Linked DNA regions of Callithrix jacchus. The protein of the gene in region 2 binds, or shares a complex with, the protein of the main gene of each other region. Links are inferred from orthologs where the notes say so. Each region holds a gene or a part of one and is shown on either strand. Other genes may lie near its edges.

What was found.
Region 1: the proteins of NCOA5 (region 2) and ESR2 are in contact, whole or in part, in a crystal structure (PDB 4ZI1), measured with the Homo sapiens proteins. The link is inferred for Callithrix jacchus from reciprocal best matches to the Homo sapiens genes NCOA5 and ESR2. Residues at the interface, in NP_066018.1 of Homo sapiens: Ser344, Leu345, Ile346, Leu348, Leu349, Ala350, Asp351; in NP_001428.1 of Homo sapiens: Ile310, Lys314, Phe319, Leu324, Gln327, Val328, Leu331, Glu332, Leu490, Glu493, Met494.

Annotation. Positions count from the first base shown.
Region 1 is NC_133509.1:98,918,362-98,928,198, forward strand, and holds part of ESR2 (estrogen receptor beta), read right to left. Parts: intron 6,563-9,837; coding exon 6,263-6,562; intron 2,606-6,262; coding exon 2,467-2,605; intron 1-2,466.
Region 2 is NC_133506.1:41,295,952-41,305,127, reverse strand, and holds the end of NCOA5 (nuclear receptor coactivator 5), read left to right. Parts: intron 1-1,697; coding exon 1,698-1,897; intron 1,898-3,291; coding exon 3,292-3,612; coding exon of another isoform or gene 3,613-3,635; intron 3,636-4,085; coding exon 4,086-4,675; 3' UTR 4,676-5,998; downstream 5,999-9,176. UniProt on the Homo sapiens protein: Nuclear receptor coregulator that can have both coactivator and corepressor functions.

The DNA.
Region 1 (9,837 bases), on a different chromosome or scaffold from region 2:
ATCCCAATGTCTGTAAATTAATCGATTCGTGAAGGGATGGAACGTCTTCCTAGGACTAACTTCTAGGAGAATTATATGTGTATATTTATACATATGCATACTTGGCTCCAGTTAAAACACCAAGTGGAATACAATGAATGAATGAGAGCAACGGCTTGGCTACTGTGCTTGGCTTTTCAGCCTGCCTTGCAACATGGTACCCTGAGATGACAGCGGGAGGAGCGGGTATCTGCGGTGTGCTAGGAGTAGAACAGGGCTATTCTCTACCAACACACTTCTGTTCTGCAGGATGTGCTCTTTGTCAACATTGTTATTGATGACAACAGGCAGAACAGACAGTTTGCCATGGCAACCCCCCAAGTCCAGCTCCACCAGCTACTATTCCACTCATAAGCAGGTTTCTTTCTTTTTTTTTTTTAATTTTTTAATTTACTTCTAAAAGATGGGGTTTCAGGCCGGGCGCCGTGGCTCACGCCTATAATCCCAGCACTTTGGGAGGCCGAGGTGGGTGGATCACAAGGACAAGAGATCGAGACCATCCTGGTCAACGAGGTGAAACCCTGTCTCTACTAAAAATGCAAAAATTAGCTGGGCATGGTGGCACATGCCTGTAATCCCAGCTACTCGGGAGGGTGAGGCAGGAGCATTGCTTGAACCCAGAAGGCGGAGGTTGCGGTGAGCCGAGATCGTGCCATTGCACTCCAGTCTGGGTAACAACAGCGAAACTCCGTCTCAAAAAAAAAAAGATGGGGTTTCACCATGATGGCCAGGCTGGTCTTGAACTCCTGACCTCAGGTGATCCACCCACCTTGGCCTCCCAAAGTGCTGGATTACAGGCGTGAGCCACCGTGCCTGGTCCTGTAAGCAGGTTTCTTAATCTCCCATTTCTAATACCTGAATGACAGAGATAATAATGGTGCTTATTCCCCCAAAGAGTGTAGGAAGATTGTGAAGATTAAATGTGTCAACATAAGTCACAACATAAGCACAATGTAAGGTGCTGCCAAGCACAAACAGGCCAATAGGTTAGCCATTTTGTTTGTTACTGAAGGGTCTTATGCCCTGCACTGCTCTGGGCTTCCATAGCCTCCCTGTGTGGTTCACCACCTAGGCTTGCTCCTGTTCAAGTCACATCAGTCCTCCAGCTTTTCCCTAAGGATCTGTTCTCTATCAAAACACCTTCATTATGCAGAACAGTTCTCTTTTAATAACATTGTCAACCATGACAAAAGGCAGATGAGACTGATACCTTGGGGTATCACTCTTCATCTGTGTAACACAGGGTCTTCTGATGATCTAAAGTGTAACAGGATAATAATGAAAGAGTTGGGGTAGGCACTAGCCATCCTCCCACTCTGCAGAGTCAGATGTGGCTGAACACTCAACACTAGCAGTTTTTCCATAAAAGAGGTGTGGAAATCAATTTCCATGAAGATTTTCAAACTGCTCAAATTTATACCAAGAAGGTAGTCTACTTTTCCCGCTAAAAAAACTTGAGTGTTTTTATATAGTTCAGGTTTCCCTCCATAAACAGTTCACCTAAGTCAATTAAAAATTGGTTCCTTTTCCATGTCATCTTTAAAAGAAAATCAAACGCAACCAAGTTATAGCAACACATCCCAATTTCTGTTAAGTTTCATGTGGTTTTAGTAACTCTTCCTCTCACCACTATTGTGAAAAATGCTATGTAGTACATGCATTAGAATGAGTTAAAGCAGGCAGGGCACAGTGGCTCACACCTGTAATCCCAGAACTTTGGGAGGCCAAGGTGGGCAGATTGCCTGAGGTCAGGAGTTCAAGACCAGCCTGCCCAACATGGTACAACCATCTCTACTAAAAATACAAAAATTAGCCTGGCGTGGTGGCAGGCTGTGATCCCAGCTAGTTGGGAGGCTGAAGCAGGAGAATCACTTGAATCCAGGAGGTGGAGGTTGCAGTGAGCCAGATTGAACCACTGCACTCCAGCCTGAAGAACAGAGTAAGACTCTGTCTCCAAAAAAAAAAAAAAAAAAAAAAAAGAATGAGTTAAAGCATATGAAAATAAACTTGGCAGATTTTTAAGACTATTATCACCTGTCCAGAAAGCTACAGATGTAATTGGTCACTATAGGTACAAAACACAGAAGGACAACTTAAGATTGTAACCTGAAAATGGAATTTTTAATGCAGAAAAGTCTATGTCGACTTATATACATAGTGGCCACATCCCTACAGGATACAGTCCCCTATTAAGGCGCTGGCCTGTAATGCACCTCAGATTAAAAATGAGTCACAGGACCCTGAATCCTTGATCCTCTCTCTCTCCTTCTCTGGTTCTTGACCCACTGAAGGATCTAATGATGCCATCATCCTCTAATTGCCCTGCAGGTGTGAGATTTTAATTGCAGCACCTAGGACTTTGTTCCCACTCACTCAGCACCTTACTCAAACAAGTTGGAGAAGAAACACAATATGTTTTTTTCTCACCTGTCCAGAATGAGATTTGGAGCAAAGATGAGCTTGCCGGGGTGGTCAATTGAGCGCCACATCAGCCCCACCATTAACACCTCCAACCAGCAGCTCTCCAAGAGCCGCACTTGGTCCAACAGGCTGAGCTCCACAAAGCCTGGGGAAAGTAAAAGGTAGTGAGACACCCCCACCCCTCCTCCTCAGCTCCCTGTTTCTGTAGAGATAGAATGGCAAGTGTTAAAACACTAAGAAAACAGAAACCATTAGGGAATCAATATTTTATAGATGTGATTAACTGCTCATTAAAGGAAGAAAACTTTTAAGTTAAGCTGCGCAACCGGTTTCCAGTCTTGGACCCCTTCTAGAGACATCATTTGGAGTTTGTCAAGCACTATGACCTGGGCTCAGAACCAACTGTCGTTAGCTGCGTCCTGATCATTCCTCTGCGCTACTGAGAAGGTTAATGTTTGGCTGCCAGTCAGAGGAGCTGCCTGTCTGACCCAGTCCTTGACTGGGATCAGAAGGCGCTGGGGAATGCGGTAGGTGGAGGCTGCAGGTGGAGGCATGCAGACAGCAGTGCCAGCCCGCACAGAAAGCCAAGGACTCAACAGCAAGGATTTCTCTGATTGCTTAAAATCTCCCATCCAGTGTTAGGATCCTTCTTCTAGGTAGAAGCACTGTTTCTGGGTGATTCTATCCTAAACAGCAAACATAGCCCAGGCACAGTGAGGCACAACTGTAATCCCAGGACTTTGGGGGGCCAAGGTAGGTAGATTGCCTGTACCCAGGATTTGGAAACCAGCCTGGCCAACATGGGGAAACCCCATCTCTACAAAAAATTACCTGGTCACGGTGGTAGGTGACTGAAGTCCCAGAAACTCTGAAGGCTAAAGTGGGAGGATGGCTTGAGCCCGGGAGGTCAAGACTGCAGTGAGCAAGATCACACCACCACACTCCAGCCTGGGCAACAGGGTGAGACCTTGTCTCAAAAAAATAAATAAATAAATAAAGAGCAAATATGGCCAGGTACAGTGGCTCCTGCCTGTAATCCCAGCACTTTGGGAGGCCAAGGCGGGAGGATCATGAGGTTAGGAGATCAAGACCATCCTGGCCAACATAGTGAAACCTCGTCTCTACTGACAATACAAAAAAAATTAGCTAGGCATGGTGGTGCATGCCTGTAATCCCAGCTACTTGGGAGGCTGAGGCAGAAGAATTGCTTGAACCCAGGAGGCAGAGATTGCAGTGAGCCGAGATGGCGCCACTGCACTACAGCCTGGGCGAGATGCAAGATTCTGTCTCAAAAACATAATAATAAAAAGCAAATATAACGAAGCAGGTCCTGACAACCTAATAACACATGTTGGTCACAATACTGATTGAAAACAGGTAACCTCTGGGGAGGGGAGCACTTTAAAAAAAAGCATAGAACACCGGGGCTTCCTCCACAAGCCATGATAAAAGGAGAGGACCATGTAATAGAAATATGGTAACAAAAGACAGAGCATTGGCATGAAATGGACTCTGGTTTGAATCCCAGCTCAGCCTCTTGCTAGCTGGTCACTTAATTTCCCACTAAGTCTTTGTTTTTCTTATAGGAAAATGGGGATAATAATGCCTATCTCTGGGAATGTCCTATAGGCAGGATCTCTTACCATCCTTATTTTACAGATGAGGATGCTATGGCAGAGAGAACACATGTGGTTCAAGTCTTGGAACAATTATAGTGCCAATTTGCATAAAGGAGAATTTCATGGTGTTATGAATGTAAAGATGGATAAATACTTTCTAAATCCACATGCTATGCTCAACTTAGGTTCCTAATGTGTATACACCTTCCCAATCTCACCCACAGTGATAGACAATAGCCTACCCAAGAGAGATCACGGTTCTTAATCTTGTAGATATTCAACAAAATTAGGGCTAGATGATAACTTTTTTGTTTGTTTGGACAATGACTATGCCAGCTAGGAGAGGGGGGAAAAATCACGCCTTCAGACTATGCCTATGTTTCCCAAAAATTTTTAAAAACACCAGGTTTAATAAGGAATAATGCAGCTGAAAAGTTCAGATTTCTTATGGCACAAAGAAGGGGCACAGCTTTCAGTAATAACTAATTTCACCACTGCTCTCCATGTGTGGTCCTGCAAAACTGTGTTTGGAATACATTTAAAGCAAAAACTAGAGCAAAGTGCATCAGCACTGTCTCCTCTGGGAAAAAGCAGAGAAAATAAAGTAATTCTGGCAAAGGTGAAGATGCTAGACAAAACAAAATACAACTAGAAACCAAAAAATCCTCAGGAAGCTCAGAAGAAATGGGCCCAGGCCAACAAAAGTCCCCAAGTGATACTGTCACTGTAGGCCTCAGTTCCCCGGGCTCTTTACCTGGAACTGCTCTCCCCCCAGCTTCTCACCCCTCCTCATCTTTACATTTGCCCAGTACACTTGCTGCTCTCCAGGCCATGGGAATGTCCCCAGTGGCTCAGAACTTGTAAGAGACTTCTTTTCTTCAAGGACTGTAAAGAAGGGCATGGGGAAGCTTTCACAGGGGGATTGTGGGGTGTTGCCATTCTAGGTTAGAATCCTAGATTCACTCCTCCACAGAAACACCAAGTCAAATGATAATTGGCTGGTAATTTTAGCATCATACAGCCCTTCAGGTATATATTACAAATGGGCTTGGGAGAAGTGATCATTTTAGAGGATGGAAAATGCAGGTTCCAAATGATAACTCACGAGTCACTAAGCTCACTTTTAACTCAATGGCATTCCAAGTTTATGGGCCCATTGAGGATTCATGTAACTGATTTACTCTATTTGTCCATACATACTTATTTATGTACATAATATTGATTCTCTATTGGAATAATAATTTATAAAATTCTATTTAACATCTGACAAACCTTTCACTTCCAAACCAGTCATACTGCACCCTGCCCCATCCTATCTAAACATGCCCCTCCTCTCAAGGTGAGGAGTCCACAGCCAAAGGACAGGTCAATGTGGAGCCCAGCTTTTTAATTAATTAATTAGTTATTATTATTTTAGACAGAGTCTTGCTCTGTTGTGATCTCGGCACTACAACCTCCGCCTCCTGGGTTCAATCGACTCTCCTGCCTCAGCCTCTCAAGTAGCTGGGATTACAGGCATCTGCCACCATGCCTGGCTAATTTTTGTATTTTTAGTAGAGACAAGGTTTTGCCATGTTGGTAAGACTGGTCTTGACAGCTGACCCTGTATTCCGTCCTCCTCGGCCTCTCAAAGTGCTGGGATTACAGGCGTGAGCCACCACGCCTAGCTGAGCCCATCATTTTAACCCTGTTCCAGGTTCCAGGACCCTAGGATTTCTTGCCCAAATGACCCCAAGCCCAATTTCAGAGCCTGGGTGGGTTCCCTGGGTCCATCCTCCCAGACCACCTCTAGGCATGAAAGGTGGCCAACAGGTGTCTGTAGCAGACATGGACACATAGGATGGGGTTTGTGCAAGGAAGGTAGTATGGGATGCATCTGTCCATGGGAAAAGAAGGGAGTCAAGAATAGAAACGGCTGGGTGACAGCTCTTTCTGCACTACCATGTCTGGTACTGAACTTAGAGGAGTCTTAGAATTCTAAATCGGAACATGGCCTTGTTGAAGGTAGGTATGCCAAGATGGGAGCAAAGAACATATTGCACTCAGAAGTTACAAATCCAGCTGTGGAACTGTTAAATATCTAGGCACAGCTCGTGGACCTCTACTTTGTACTCTTGCCCCTTAAATATTAGCAGCAGGCCTTTCTACAAGCACATGGAAAACTAATAGCCAGAAGGCCCTACCGGGAATCTTCTTGGCCCAGCTGATCATGTGTACCAACTCCTCGTCGGCCAGCTTGGTCAGGGACATCATCATGGAGGCCTCAGTGAAGGGCACGCTGGGGCGGCTGATCAGCACATGGGGCGGTTCGGCCTCCAGGAGGGTGAGCACCAGCTGCTCGGGGCTCAGGGCGCTCAGCAGCAGCTCCCGCACTCGGGGCACGTGACCACCACTTCTCTTGGCCTTGCCGGCGCAATGCAGCTGCTCCTCGGCATTTCCCTGTCTCCGCACAAGGCGGTACCCACATCTCTCTCTCCGGGAGCCTGAAGAGGAAAGCAGAGTCATTCGAATTGCCAGGGTAAAACCACAGTCAACTAAAAGAAGCCTGACTCTTCAGCGTGTAGGGCACATATCAAAGATTACTATGGTCTTGACTCTACTAGCAAACCAACAACATAACTTTTCAGCAACTTTTCAGGTCTCCATTTCCAGGTCATCTCTAGATGCTAACTCCATTTCTCTATAAAGAGCGCTCACATACCTGTTTCCAAACCATGAAATTAGGAATTTTCTTCAGGTAGAAAAATGGGGATATTTCTGAAGGTATCAAATAATACACTTTTATTATAACACATTCTTAAAATGTTTATATGCATGTGTGCATATATTTATATTTCTTTTCCATACTTACACAAAACAAGTATATTTCAAAAAACTAAGTGAAAAAAATCTGGAGAATATAAAAGAGAATAAATTTTGGCATAAACTCTTTGAGTCTTTTTTTTTTTTTTTTTTTGAGACGGAGTTTCGCTCTTGTTACCCAGGCTGGAGTGCAATGGCGCGATCTTGGCTCACTGCAACCTCCGCCCCCTGGGTTCAGGCAATTCTCCCGCCTCAGCCTCCTGAGTAGCTGGGATTACAGGCACGCGCCACTGTGCCCAGCTAATTTTTTGTAATTTTTAGTAGAGACGGGGTTTCACCATGTTGACCAGGATGGTCTCGATCTGTTGACCTCGTGATCCACCCGCCTCGGCCTCCCAAAGTGCTGTCTTTCAGTCTTTTTAATGCTTTTATGTTTTTCCATGTTTTATACACAAAATTATTTATTTATTTATTTATTTATTTATGAGCCGGAGTCTCACTGTGTCAACCAGCCTGCAGTTCAGTGCTGCAATCTTGGCTCATGCAACCTCAGTCTCCAGGTTCAAGCAATTTTCCAGCCTCAGCCTCCTGAGTAGCTGGGAATTATAGGTACCTACCACCACACTTGGCTAATTTTTTTTTTTTTTTTTTTTTTTTTTGAGATGGAGTCTCACTCTGTCGCCAGGCGCCAGGCTAGAGTGCAGTGGCACAACCTTGGCTCACTGCAACCTCTGCTTCCCAGATACAAGCAATTCTCCTGCCTGGGCTGCCCAAGTAGCTGGGACTACAGGCACATGCCACCACGCCCAGCTAATTCTTGTATTTACTTAAATAGAGACAGGTTTTCACCACATTGGCCAGGCTGGTCTCAAATTCCTGACCTCAGGTGATCTGCCCATCTCAGTCTTCCAAAGTGCTGGGATTACAGGCATGAGTCACTGCGCCTGGCCTTTACATACAAAACTAGATTGTAGTATATACACAATTTTATTTTCATTGTATTTTTGAGAAAGAGTCTCACTCTGTTGCCCAAGGTGGATATAGTGGTGCAATCATAGCTCACTGCAGCCTCCATCTCCTGGGTTCAAGCAACCCTGCTACCTCAGCCTCCTGAGTAGCTGGCACTCCAGGAACATGCCACCATGCCCAGCTAATTTTAAAATATTTTTGTAGAGATACGGTCTATGTTGCCCAGTGCTCAATAGTTTGACTATTTTCTCAGACCCATTTGGCATTAAAAATCATTTTTAATGTGTGCTAATCTAACAAATGACTAAACCATCTTGCTTTACTTTGTATGTTTTAATTACTAGCAAATTTGATTTATATGCTTATTCTTTGTATTTATTTATTTATTTAGAGACAGGGTCTCTCTGTCCCCCAAGCTGGAGTATGGTGGAATGGTCATGATCACAGCCCGCTGCAACCTCAACCTACCAGGTTCAGGTGATCCTCCTGGGTAGCTGGGACTACAGTGTGCACCGCCACACCTGACTAATTTTTGTATTTTGTGTAGAGACAGGGTCTTGCTATGTTGTCCACACTGGTCTTGAACTCCTAGGCTCAAATGATCCTCTTGCCTTGGTCTCCCAAAGTGCTGGGATTACAGGTAGAAGCCACCACATGCAATCCAATATTTAAAGTTTTTGTGATACAGAAACAAGGTGGAACCAAAATACCTAACAATAACATGTAAGATGAGAGATGAATGACTTTGGTTAGAATTTCTAAAATTCTTTTTTTGGGAAGATAAAAGCTTAAATTCTCATATTAATCAAGAACACATGTTGAAAAATAGAAATGTCACTAAAGGAATTTAAATGTGGCTAAGCATGGTGGCTCACACTTGTAATCCCAGCACTTTAGGAGGCCAAGGGGGGGAGGGATCACTTGAGGCCAGAAGTTCAAGACCAGCCTGAGCAACATGGTGAAACCCTGTCTCTACTAATAATACAAAAATTAGCTGGGCATGGTGGCATACCCCTGCAATCCCAGCTCTTTAGGAGGCTGAGGAAGGAGAATCACTTGAACCCAAAAGGCAGAGGCTGCAGTGTGCTGAGATCGTGCCATTGGACTCCAGCCTGGGTGATATAGCGAGACTCTGTCTCAAAAAAAAAAAAGGGAAATAAAACAGAATGTATGACTTTCAAACTAGTAAAAGAAGAAAAATAAAACAAAAATGTGATTAAATCCTAAAAGGAAAGAAGTAGAAAATACATAAAAATTTTAAAATCACAAAATAAGATAGAAATGAACCCAAATATTAGTTATCACAATAAAGAAAAAATACTAAATTGACCATTTAAGAGTGACTCTGAAATCCTATATATTTTTAAATCTAGACATAGATTAGTCATAAGAGATATACCTCACATACAGAAAAACAAAGTAGACAGAAAAATATATAACAGGCAAAAATTAATCAAATAAATTGATGTTACTCTATTGATATCAGACAAACTTTAAGGCAAAATTTATTATTATAGATTAGGAGACTCATTTCTAGAATATTAATAAAAGATAAATAATTCTAAACTCATATACTTCAAAACAACATAGGCCAGGCACAGTTGGCTCACACCTGCAATCCCAGCAATTTAGGAGGCTGAGGCTGGTGGATCACTTGAGGTCAGGAGTTCAAGACCAGCCTGGCCAACATGGTGAAACCTCATTTCTACTACAAATACAAAAATTACCCAGGTATGGTGGCACATTCCTGTAATCCCAATCTCAGGAGGCCTCCAGAGGCAGGAGAATCACACAAACCTGGGAGGCAGAGGTTGCAATGAGCTGAGATCGCACCACTGCACTCCAGCCTGGGTGACAGAGCAAGATTCTGCAGAAAAAAAAAAAATCATAAACAACAAAACACAGCCTCCAAGTACAACACAAAAAATGATTGCAAGAAAAAGAGAAACTGACAGATGCACTATTATAATGGGATATTTAAACCTCT
Region 2 (9,176 bases):
GTTATAGGTGACAGAAAACTCAATTCAATCAGGCATAAGCCCAAAAGGGACATTTTTTATTTAAGCAGAAAGTAACTGGGAAGTTGAGGCATGGCCACATCCAGAGTCAAACCATGTCATCAAGACTTGGTCTCTGTGTCAGTATCTAAGTACCTCTTTACTCAGATTTGCCTTTGTTCTCAGGCAGGTTTTGTGCTTGAAGAAAGGCAGAACGGCACTGGCTCTAAACATGTGTCTTCTTAGCTTAGCAAGCCAAGTGGAAAGAGAGCTTCTCTTTCCCATTGTTTCTACCTAACGTTCTGGAATTCTTCTTAGGTTGACCTGACTTACTTTCCCATCCTTAAGCCTGTCACTTTGACAGGGGTGCTGAATGTTCTGATTGGCCAGGGCTGTCATGTTCCCATCCCAAGAGCTAGAGGTGGGATTAGCCCTGTGGAACCATGCAGACTGAGAGTGGAAGAGGGTCTAGATGCTGGTCAAGCAAAGCAGTAGATAACCCCTTCATGGGACAACCCGAATGCCCAATACTTTGGGAGACACATCTCTGCATTTGTCAGCCAAGAACCAAGTCTTTATGAAGTGCCATGGCCTTGCAGAACTGTTAAATGACCATGTTACCAAGCTAGGGCTCACAGCATTGTTTCACTGCATCCCTGTTTTACATTTTCTCCTTGAAGAGGCAGAGCAGAGAAGCAGAAGGGAGTATAGCAGCTTGCAGGCTTGGCAGTAGCTATATTCCCTTTCCCCAGGTAGTACTAAGTAAATAACTTCATGTATTTTCTAGCAGTTTGGGGTTAAAGAGCTAATTTCAAGGCAGTGACTAGGGAAATAGGTGTTGAGACACCAAGTAATAGGCAGAGTTCACAGGCTCTTGGCTGTCTTGTTCAGCAATAGATGCTGCTTTTAACTGTAGGAGCTTTTTCTGGACACATAATAGCTGTCATTTTCTGAGTACCTACTTTGTGTACTACCCCATGCTAGGCCCCTTACGTAAATTATTTTTAATTTTCACAGTAATCACATAAAATTTATTCATTCAGCAAATCTTTTGTATGTGTGGCAGATGCTGGGTACTGGGGCTACATAGTCTCATTCCACTGGTGGAGCTTACACCCTAATGGGGCAGGTGACAAAAGCATACAGCTGTGAGTCCTATGAGAAAAGAGTATCAGAGGTCTAGTTTAGATTGGAGGGAAGGTGAAAGAAATGACATATGAACTGAGCCATATTATTCCTGTTTTATTAGTAAAGAAATTGATGTTTGTAAGAGGTAAATGGACTTGACTAAAAGTTCAGAACTTTGCAAGTAGATGCTAAGAGCTGGGATCCAAAACCATGTTTCTGTCATTTAAGCCCATTATGTTCCCACTGTATTATGCAGCCTACCCAAAAAGAGATAAGTGTCACAAGTCTTAGGGAGCTGGATGTTGTTAAGGAAGGACCACTGGGCTAGAAAATCAATAGAAGGACCTGGATATCCTACTGTGCTACTGGCAACTTCTGATATGACCTCAAGCAGGTCAAGCCATTCTGAGCCAGGGTATAGAGAGAGAATTGATCTAGATCCTTAGATCCTAAAGATGGTTTTGGGATGGACTACAGTTTGAGTTCTTAGTAGGAATACACACAGCTGGCTTGAGACACAACAATGCAGGTTTGGAGTTGGTCACTTACCTGGATCTTGTTTGTTTTTATAGAGACTATGCTGAGTCTGTGGGGCGGAAGGTGCGAGACCTGGGCATGGTAGTGGACTTGATCTTCCTCAACACAGAGGTGTCATTGTCACAAGCCTTGGAGGATGTTAGCAGGGGAGGTTCTCCTTTTGCTATTGTCATCACCCAGCAACACCAGATTCACCGCTCCTGCACAGTCAACATCATGTTTGGAACCCCGCAAGGTACAGGGGCCTAAGTGGGTCAAAATACCAGAGGTAGTGACTAGTCCATTATTAGTCCTTTATGCCTTACTCAGAAGAACCAGGTTTTGGGCAAATGACTCTTATATCCCAGTTCATACATGGTAGGGCCCCTCTCTAAGTACCGTGGAAGAGTGCTGCATAGTTGTTATCTGATAGTCTCTCAGTGGATACAGTTCTGGGCCTACTATCTGTTACATTATACTTAGCTTTAGGTATATACAGTGGTGTACTGACAAATATTTAACAACAAGTTGTGGGACGGGGGGAGGACATTTATAGCATTTGCTGATCTCCGTGGAATACATACTCCCACCATGTTTCAGTTCAAACCACCAACATGAAGTCACTGAAGGGAGAGTTGGAAAGAAATGTGCACAGTTGGCTCTTGCCACTGAGATCTGGCTCCAGCACACCTCTGGCATGTACACCAATGAACGTGACAAAATCCTTACTTTCGCCCAGCTTTCTAATGGAGGACAGATAATATAACAGGCATTTAGGATCCTTTTTATAAGTGTGCTGGAGAAGTAACCAGAAGGGCTATGAGAAGTTACCAGAGGGACTAAGAGGCCTTGACCCTGTAGAGGCCCAGGACCAGTTCTCGAAGTCCTTCTTAGAAGTAGCTTTTCAAGCACTGAACCCAGAGGATTGAGACTCGGCCAGCTGATACCCTGCTCCTCTTGCAGCACAGACTTACTGTTTTCCCACTACACTCAGCATCTCTGTTGGCCTCATTCCTTATCCTCATAACCATACAATTACGTAAGGATCTCCAGTGGATCATTTGTCCGTCTGAGGAATAGTCCCCAAGATGTGTGAGGACAAAAGTTCTGAGGAGTCCTCTCACTACCCGGTAAACCGTATTTCCCATGGGTGAGGAGAGGAGGTTATTTAGGGTCACAATTTGATCTTAAATCCATGACTTTTGAACTGATGAATTAAAAAACAGTAGGCCAGCTTTGTCCTGAGGAGCACAGTGGAGAGCCCAGCTTTCCAGAGGGCCTTGTTGGCCTCCTGCTGCTGGTCTAGAGGCTGCTGGGCCTGCCTCCCGGGGCTGTTCCCCACATGGCCTGTTTGAATCTGCAGGAGGCTGTCATGTTTCTTTGGTTTTTACTACTGCAAGTCTGTGATCTAGGAATTCCCCCAAAGAACCAGCTGTATACAAAGGTGCATGCTCCCACCAAAGGTATCCATTCACTTCCCTTCCTGCCCTTCATCTGTCCACCCACACCACCCTACTCTCAATCTCAAGCCTTTTTGTCACCAAAGTGATTTTCTTGCTGGTATAAGGTTAGGAAAGACTTGATAGAGGCAGCAGGCGGGCACTTAAATATGTCATGAAAGAAAATAACTCATGTCATTTCCTCCTACAGAGCATCGCAACATGCCCCAGGCAGATGCCATGGTGCTGGTGGCCAGAAATTATGAGCGTTACAAGAATGAGTGCCGGGAGAAGGAACGTGAGGAGATTGCCAGACAGGCAGCCAAGATGGCCGATGAAGCCATCCTGCAGGAAAGAGAGAGAGGAGGCCCTGAGGAGGGAGTGCGCGGGGGCCACCCTCCAGCCATCCAGAGCCTCATCAACCTGCTGGCAGACAACAGGTACCTCACTGCCGAAGAGACTGACAAGATCATCAACTACCTGCGAGAGCGGAAGGAGCGGCTGATGAGGAGCAGCACCGACTCTCTGCCTGGTGAGCTACGTGGCAGGGCCGAGGTGAAGTTCTGACTCTGCATTTCTCTAATCCCCAGGCTCTGTTGGGAGGGTGTCAGGCCCAGGGCTGTTTGGAGTGGGTAAGGGAAATAAGTCCATCCCTTGGGTTCTTCCATGGGCCATCCATTGCTGCTATAATGTTAATAATAACTTTTTATTATTTGGGTACTGAATGCTGATCCCCGTAGTTAATGTGGTGGATTGACTAGTATTGCTGAATCCCTGGTAGCCAGGATGGATGCCCTTTTGTTTTTTAGCAGTTCTCTAGGAGAACTAACCTATTGTTTTCTGTAAATAGCATATATCATGATGTAGCCCCTTGGGAAATTGATGTTATTGTCTGTGTACTATATGATTGATGTGACTCAGTGATTGTTGTTCTTCCTTTGGCTGCTAGGCCTCCTGCCCTTGGGGGGTACTTTGAACCAGATACCTCCCTCTTCTGTCTTCCAGGCCCGATTTCCCGCCAACCACTCGGGGCGACCTCGGGTGCCTCGCTGAAGACACAGCCAAGCTCCCAACCGCTCCAGAGCGGCCAAGTGCTCCCCTCTGCTACACCCACTCCATCTGCACCCCCCACCTCCCAGCAAGAGCTTCAGGCCAAAATCCTCAGCCTCTTCAATAGTGGTACAGTGGCGGCCAATAGCAGCTCTACATCCCCCTCGGTTGCTGCCGGAAACACCCCGAACCAGAATTTTTCCACAGCAGCAAACAGCCAGCCTCAGCAAAGATCACAGGCCTCTGGCAATCAGCCTCCAAGCATTTTGGGACAGGGAGGATCTGCTCAGAACATGGGCCCCAGACCTGGGGCTCCTTCCCAAGGGCTTTTTGGCCAACCTTCCAGTCGCCTGGCACCTGCTAGCAACATGGCTAGCCAGAGGCCTGTGTCTTCCACAGGCATCAACTTTGACAATCCAAGTGTACAGAAGGCTCTGGATACCCTGATCCAAAGTGGCCCTGCTCTCTCCCACCTGGTTAGCCAGACCACAGCACAGATGGGGCAGCCACAGGCCCCCATGGGATCTTACCAGAGGCATTACTGAGGCTAAATCTTTCAACTGTCCCCAGTCCCCTCATCCCCTGGCCTCCCACTTACTGCGTTCTAAATAGAGTTGTTTGGAGGATATTCTTGGCATTCTCCAGGTCTACATTGAGTGTCATCAGTTTCTTCTACCACCTGCTCTCTCTCCTGCCCAAGGCTGTGTTGCTTATTCCTTACCAAGTTTATGCTGCATTTGGGGCTGTATTCTGATTTGTTTTTTGGATTTTTGTAGAAAATAGGTATCTCCGGAGTCACTTGGGCAGTACAGGTGTCTGGGCTTATATCTGATGGGATTTCTCCAGTCCCTCTGTCTACTGGTTTCGGAGCCAGGCCCAGCTGGCGACATTTGGAATGGCATTTGTCATGTCAGTAGCCACCACCTTTGTTCATTGTGAACCTACCAAGACTTTCAAGCTTCAAACATGTCGACCAGAGCTCAAGCTCCTGCCTGCAACTCCTGCCTAGAGTTAAAGAAAAGTCGACTGGCCTTGGCAGGCACAGTGTCATCATACCCCAACCCCACGTTTGGGATCTGCTCGAAGATTCATAAATCAGCTACTCTGGATTGTTGAGGAATGGCCATGGCAGCTACAGAAGAATTTTTCTGTCTGAGCCAAGGTTGCTTTTTTGTTTTTTTCTCTTTTATTTTTTGTTTTCATTTCATTGGAAGATCTCCAATGGACTGAACAGCTCCAGTCAGCAGCAGTTTAATACAAACTGTGAATCTGGGCCCCACCACTCTTCCCCCTTACCAGTTCTGTCAGCATCCCCCTCCAGCGGCACTTGCATGGAGTCAATTCTGAGACTCTGGCCATGAACACTCATTTCTTCAATGATTTGTTTTGAGCTTTTGGCTCAAAACTCCAGGCTCTTATTTTTGTCTAGACTCTTGTTCCGTTTCCTGAGCAGTAGGAGGTAGGGACCACTTTGATGTCAGATTTCTGGTAGCTGGACATGTTCTTGAGATAGGTGGCTGTTCATGACTTTTGTACCAGAGTGAAATTGTTAGAGGGAGGGCTTCTGGCTGTGGTTCTAAGTGGAGCCGCAGAAAGCTGCCCTCTCCCCAGGGATTGTACTCAGCAGATCCCTGTGGATCATGGTCTCGAGATCCTCTAGCAGGGGAGAGGGAGAGCAGTGACCAGCTGAGTCCCTGACAGTGGCAGAGAAAACAATGGTTTCAAAATTCAAGGTCCCCAAATAGCAGCATTTTATGTTCTGACCTGTTTGTGTTATATAGTGTTTTTTTTTTTTTTTTCTCTTTGGAACTCTTGTGTTGTTAATAAAATGAAATGATTACTTTTTGATTAAAATGCAAAAAGTAAAAGCTGTGTTTATCTTTCTTGGGTGTGAATATCCTCTTTGCAGAACACTCCCCGAGTCAGAGGTGAGGGCTCCTGTGTCGAGGACTCTGGTCTGCCCCTTCTTGTCCTCAGCATGTGATCCGGCCTCAAACCTCTTAGAACCCTGCCTTCTCTGCATAGGTGGCTCACCTAGTTAGAGGCTTTAATAACAGTTCAGCGCAAAAGCCTACTGGCTAATTATAGTGCTGTGTTCAACATCCTGCTTCTGGCAGACATTCTTTGTGTCAGCAGCCTTGTCCTCTTATTCTAGAAAAGGAAAACAGGAATGTGAGGAGGCCATTTGTGGTTGGTGGCCTCTGGTAGAGAGGCACTTCCTGTTTTCATTTTGTCTCAGTTGCCACCCTCTGTTCAACCCATTGTACAGGGAGTTGGCAGAATCCATAGAACCCGAAGGAGCCTTGAAGAACATTGAATAACTTGGGGTGGGTGTGGTGAAGTGGGTGGCACAGGCCTCCCATGGGTTAGGCATCAACGTGCTGAGAGAACAGCCTGAACAGTGTTGAGTGCTCACTGCCTTAAGGGGGTATCACTGCAGCCTGACACCTATACTTAGAAAGTGCTCACTACCTCCTGGAAGATGTCAGTGCAGCCTGACACCTAGTAAGTGCCTACCAGTCTTAGGAGATGATGTTAGTGCTGCTCTCCAAGCCAGGGCCCCAAAGCTAGCGGTATGTAAATTAGATCAGCAGACCTGGGGCATTAGCCCATCTCTTCCGTCAGTGGAGGTCGGTGTTTCTGATTTAAGAGTGTGGGGTCTGGTCTGGTGTGGTGGCTCACGCCTGTAATCCCAGCACTTTGGGAGGCCGAGGCAGGTGGATCACCTGAGGTCAGGAATTCAAGACCAGCCTGGCCAACATGGTGAAACTCCATCTCAAAAAAAAAAAACGTGGGGTCCTATAGGGCCCCTGGAGTGTCTAAACAGCACATCTCAGGCCATGAAGGGTATAATAAAATTATTTTTATTGCATTTTGTGCAGATGGGAGTCTAAAAAAGTAATACAGTAAAAGCCATAAAGCATTAAATGGGAGCATTCAACAATAAAGGAAAGAACCAACCCTCTCCTTTTCATATTGGCACAAAGAACACAAGATCAATACTGAGGCAGGATGCGGAATACTGAACACTTATGCTGAAAAGTAAAGGCAGGCCTAATAATCATAGTAAGAATAGTAATAAATACTCTTGATTTGGTTTGCAACCTCTCCTATTTACAAGGGTTTTCAACTTCATTGCATTGCCCTGCACATAGATCATCTAAAACAAAAGCAACACTAGTTATCACTACAAGGCTATTGAAATATTGCACTCAGAATAAAAGTCACTTGAATGGACATGAAACATCTAACTACAGTGATTATAAAGATAACTTGATGAATGACATAACATTCATAACAAATATTGCACATGTAGCACAGAAAACTTGGGTTTTTGTTGTGGGATGTCTGTTTCATCAACGGAAACTTTGCTCTTGCCAACCAGACAATCTGGGCCCAGATAGTGCAACTTTGGTTCCCTAATTGATGTTGATACAGCCCCCTTCTGCACAGCCCACCACGTTAGCCCCGAAATATTCAGGCCCCCAGAAGGCAGGACCTGGCTGTGGTTCTCAGAGGGAGGTCCATTGAAGGATGCAGGGGCCTGGCGTCTAACACCTCCAGCTTACTGATTGAGTACCTGAATCTATCCAGTCCCCTGATCTAATCTCAGGGGGACCTTGGCATAACCGGCAGACCTCCAAACCTACCCCCAGCCACACCTGACCCTGTCTAGGTGGTGCCAGCTCCAGCTCTACCTCAGGCTCAAAGGAAAAAAGGTGGTGAGGTCAGGAGTACTCAGTGGCCCCAGCTCTGGGAGGTGAGTGAGATGTCTAACTAGGTACGCAGGTCAGGGCCCTGGGGCTGGAGGTACTGTACCCAGTCCCAGATGGTGCTGGAACGAGCATGCAGTGCCTGTCCCCCTTAGTAACGTGCCCTAGGGGAAGGGAACCCGGCCACCGCGCCTTCTCTGAGGACAGTATGCCTCAGACCAGGCTGGTGGAGCGGAAGCGCCAAGGACGAATTGGGGAAGCCAAAGGCCCTGGGTCCTACAGGAGAGCACACAGGCGCTAAGAACAAAGCGCGTGTGACTCCAGCCCTCCCGCAGGCCCAGGTACCCCGGGAGACGGAGCTAGAGGCCGCTGCTAAGCAGCAAGGCCCGGCCCCAGAGCACAGAGAAGGAGTCTGCCAGTTGGGGACGGAGGAGGGAAAGTCAAGGGCGGCGCCGGGGCCTCCCAGCAGGTCGGCCCCCTAAACCAGAATGGGCCCCCTCCTCCCGACCTGTCCCAGGGAGGAAACTCCAGGGAGGGGGCGCCCTCCAGCTCCATAATTTCAGTCTTTGGCGAGGAGCCATGAGATACGGGGAGCAGGCGACAAGCCGACTGAGGAGAGACGCCTGCTTCCCAGCAAAGGCACCGGGGCGGGGCTTCCTCGGCGGGGCGCGGGCCTCTCGGTTTCTTCCCGTTGAGGAGCGCCCCTCCCCAATCCTGGCCCCAACTTGCATAAGAGCCGATGAGAAGAGGTTGCGCGTCTCTGCAGCCGCAGTGGAAGCTCACATTCGCTGGGAGGCGAATCCAGGAAAAGTTGGACCCTTGTCTCACCTCATCTTGGAAAAGGACTGGCAGGGAGAGTGGGAAGCCAAGGGCGCGGGAAAGGGCGAAGAGGCGAGAGCCGGACAGGGGTGTGGAGGGACCAGGACCACGACCCCCGCCTGGGCCTAAATCACTTTTGCTCTCAAACTCTTGGACGTCAAGGAAAACTCAGCTTCCCGAGGCCTCCGCCTCCCCGCAGTGCCCCCAGCGGGAGAGCTCGACTGTGGCGAGAAGTCTGTTGCGCTTCTAGTCACATAAATATGGGGACGTTAAAAATACACGCGATGTCTCCTGTACACTATGTATAGGCTCGGCCGCCCGCGCCCCGCGGCTCGGCGAGAAGGGGCGGCGGAGACGGCAAGCGCCGCCTTCCCACCCCGCGCGCCTCCGGGAGCCGGAGGAGCGCAGAGCGAGGACCGCGGCGGGCAGGCGTGGGAAGGGGAAGAATGGGCCGCATGGACTACCTGGGGGTCCCCAAGGCCCCAGCTCCTCTCCTTTCCACGCCTCCTCCCAA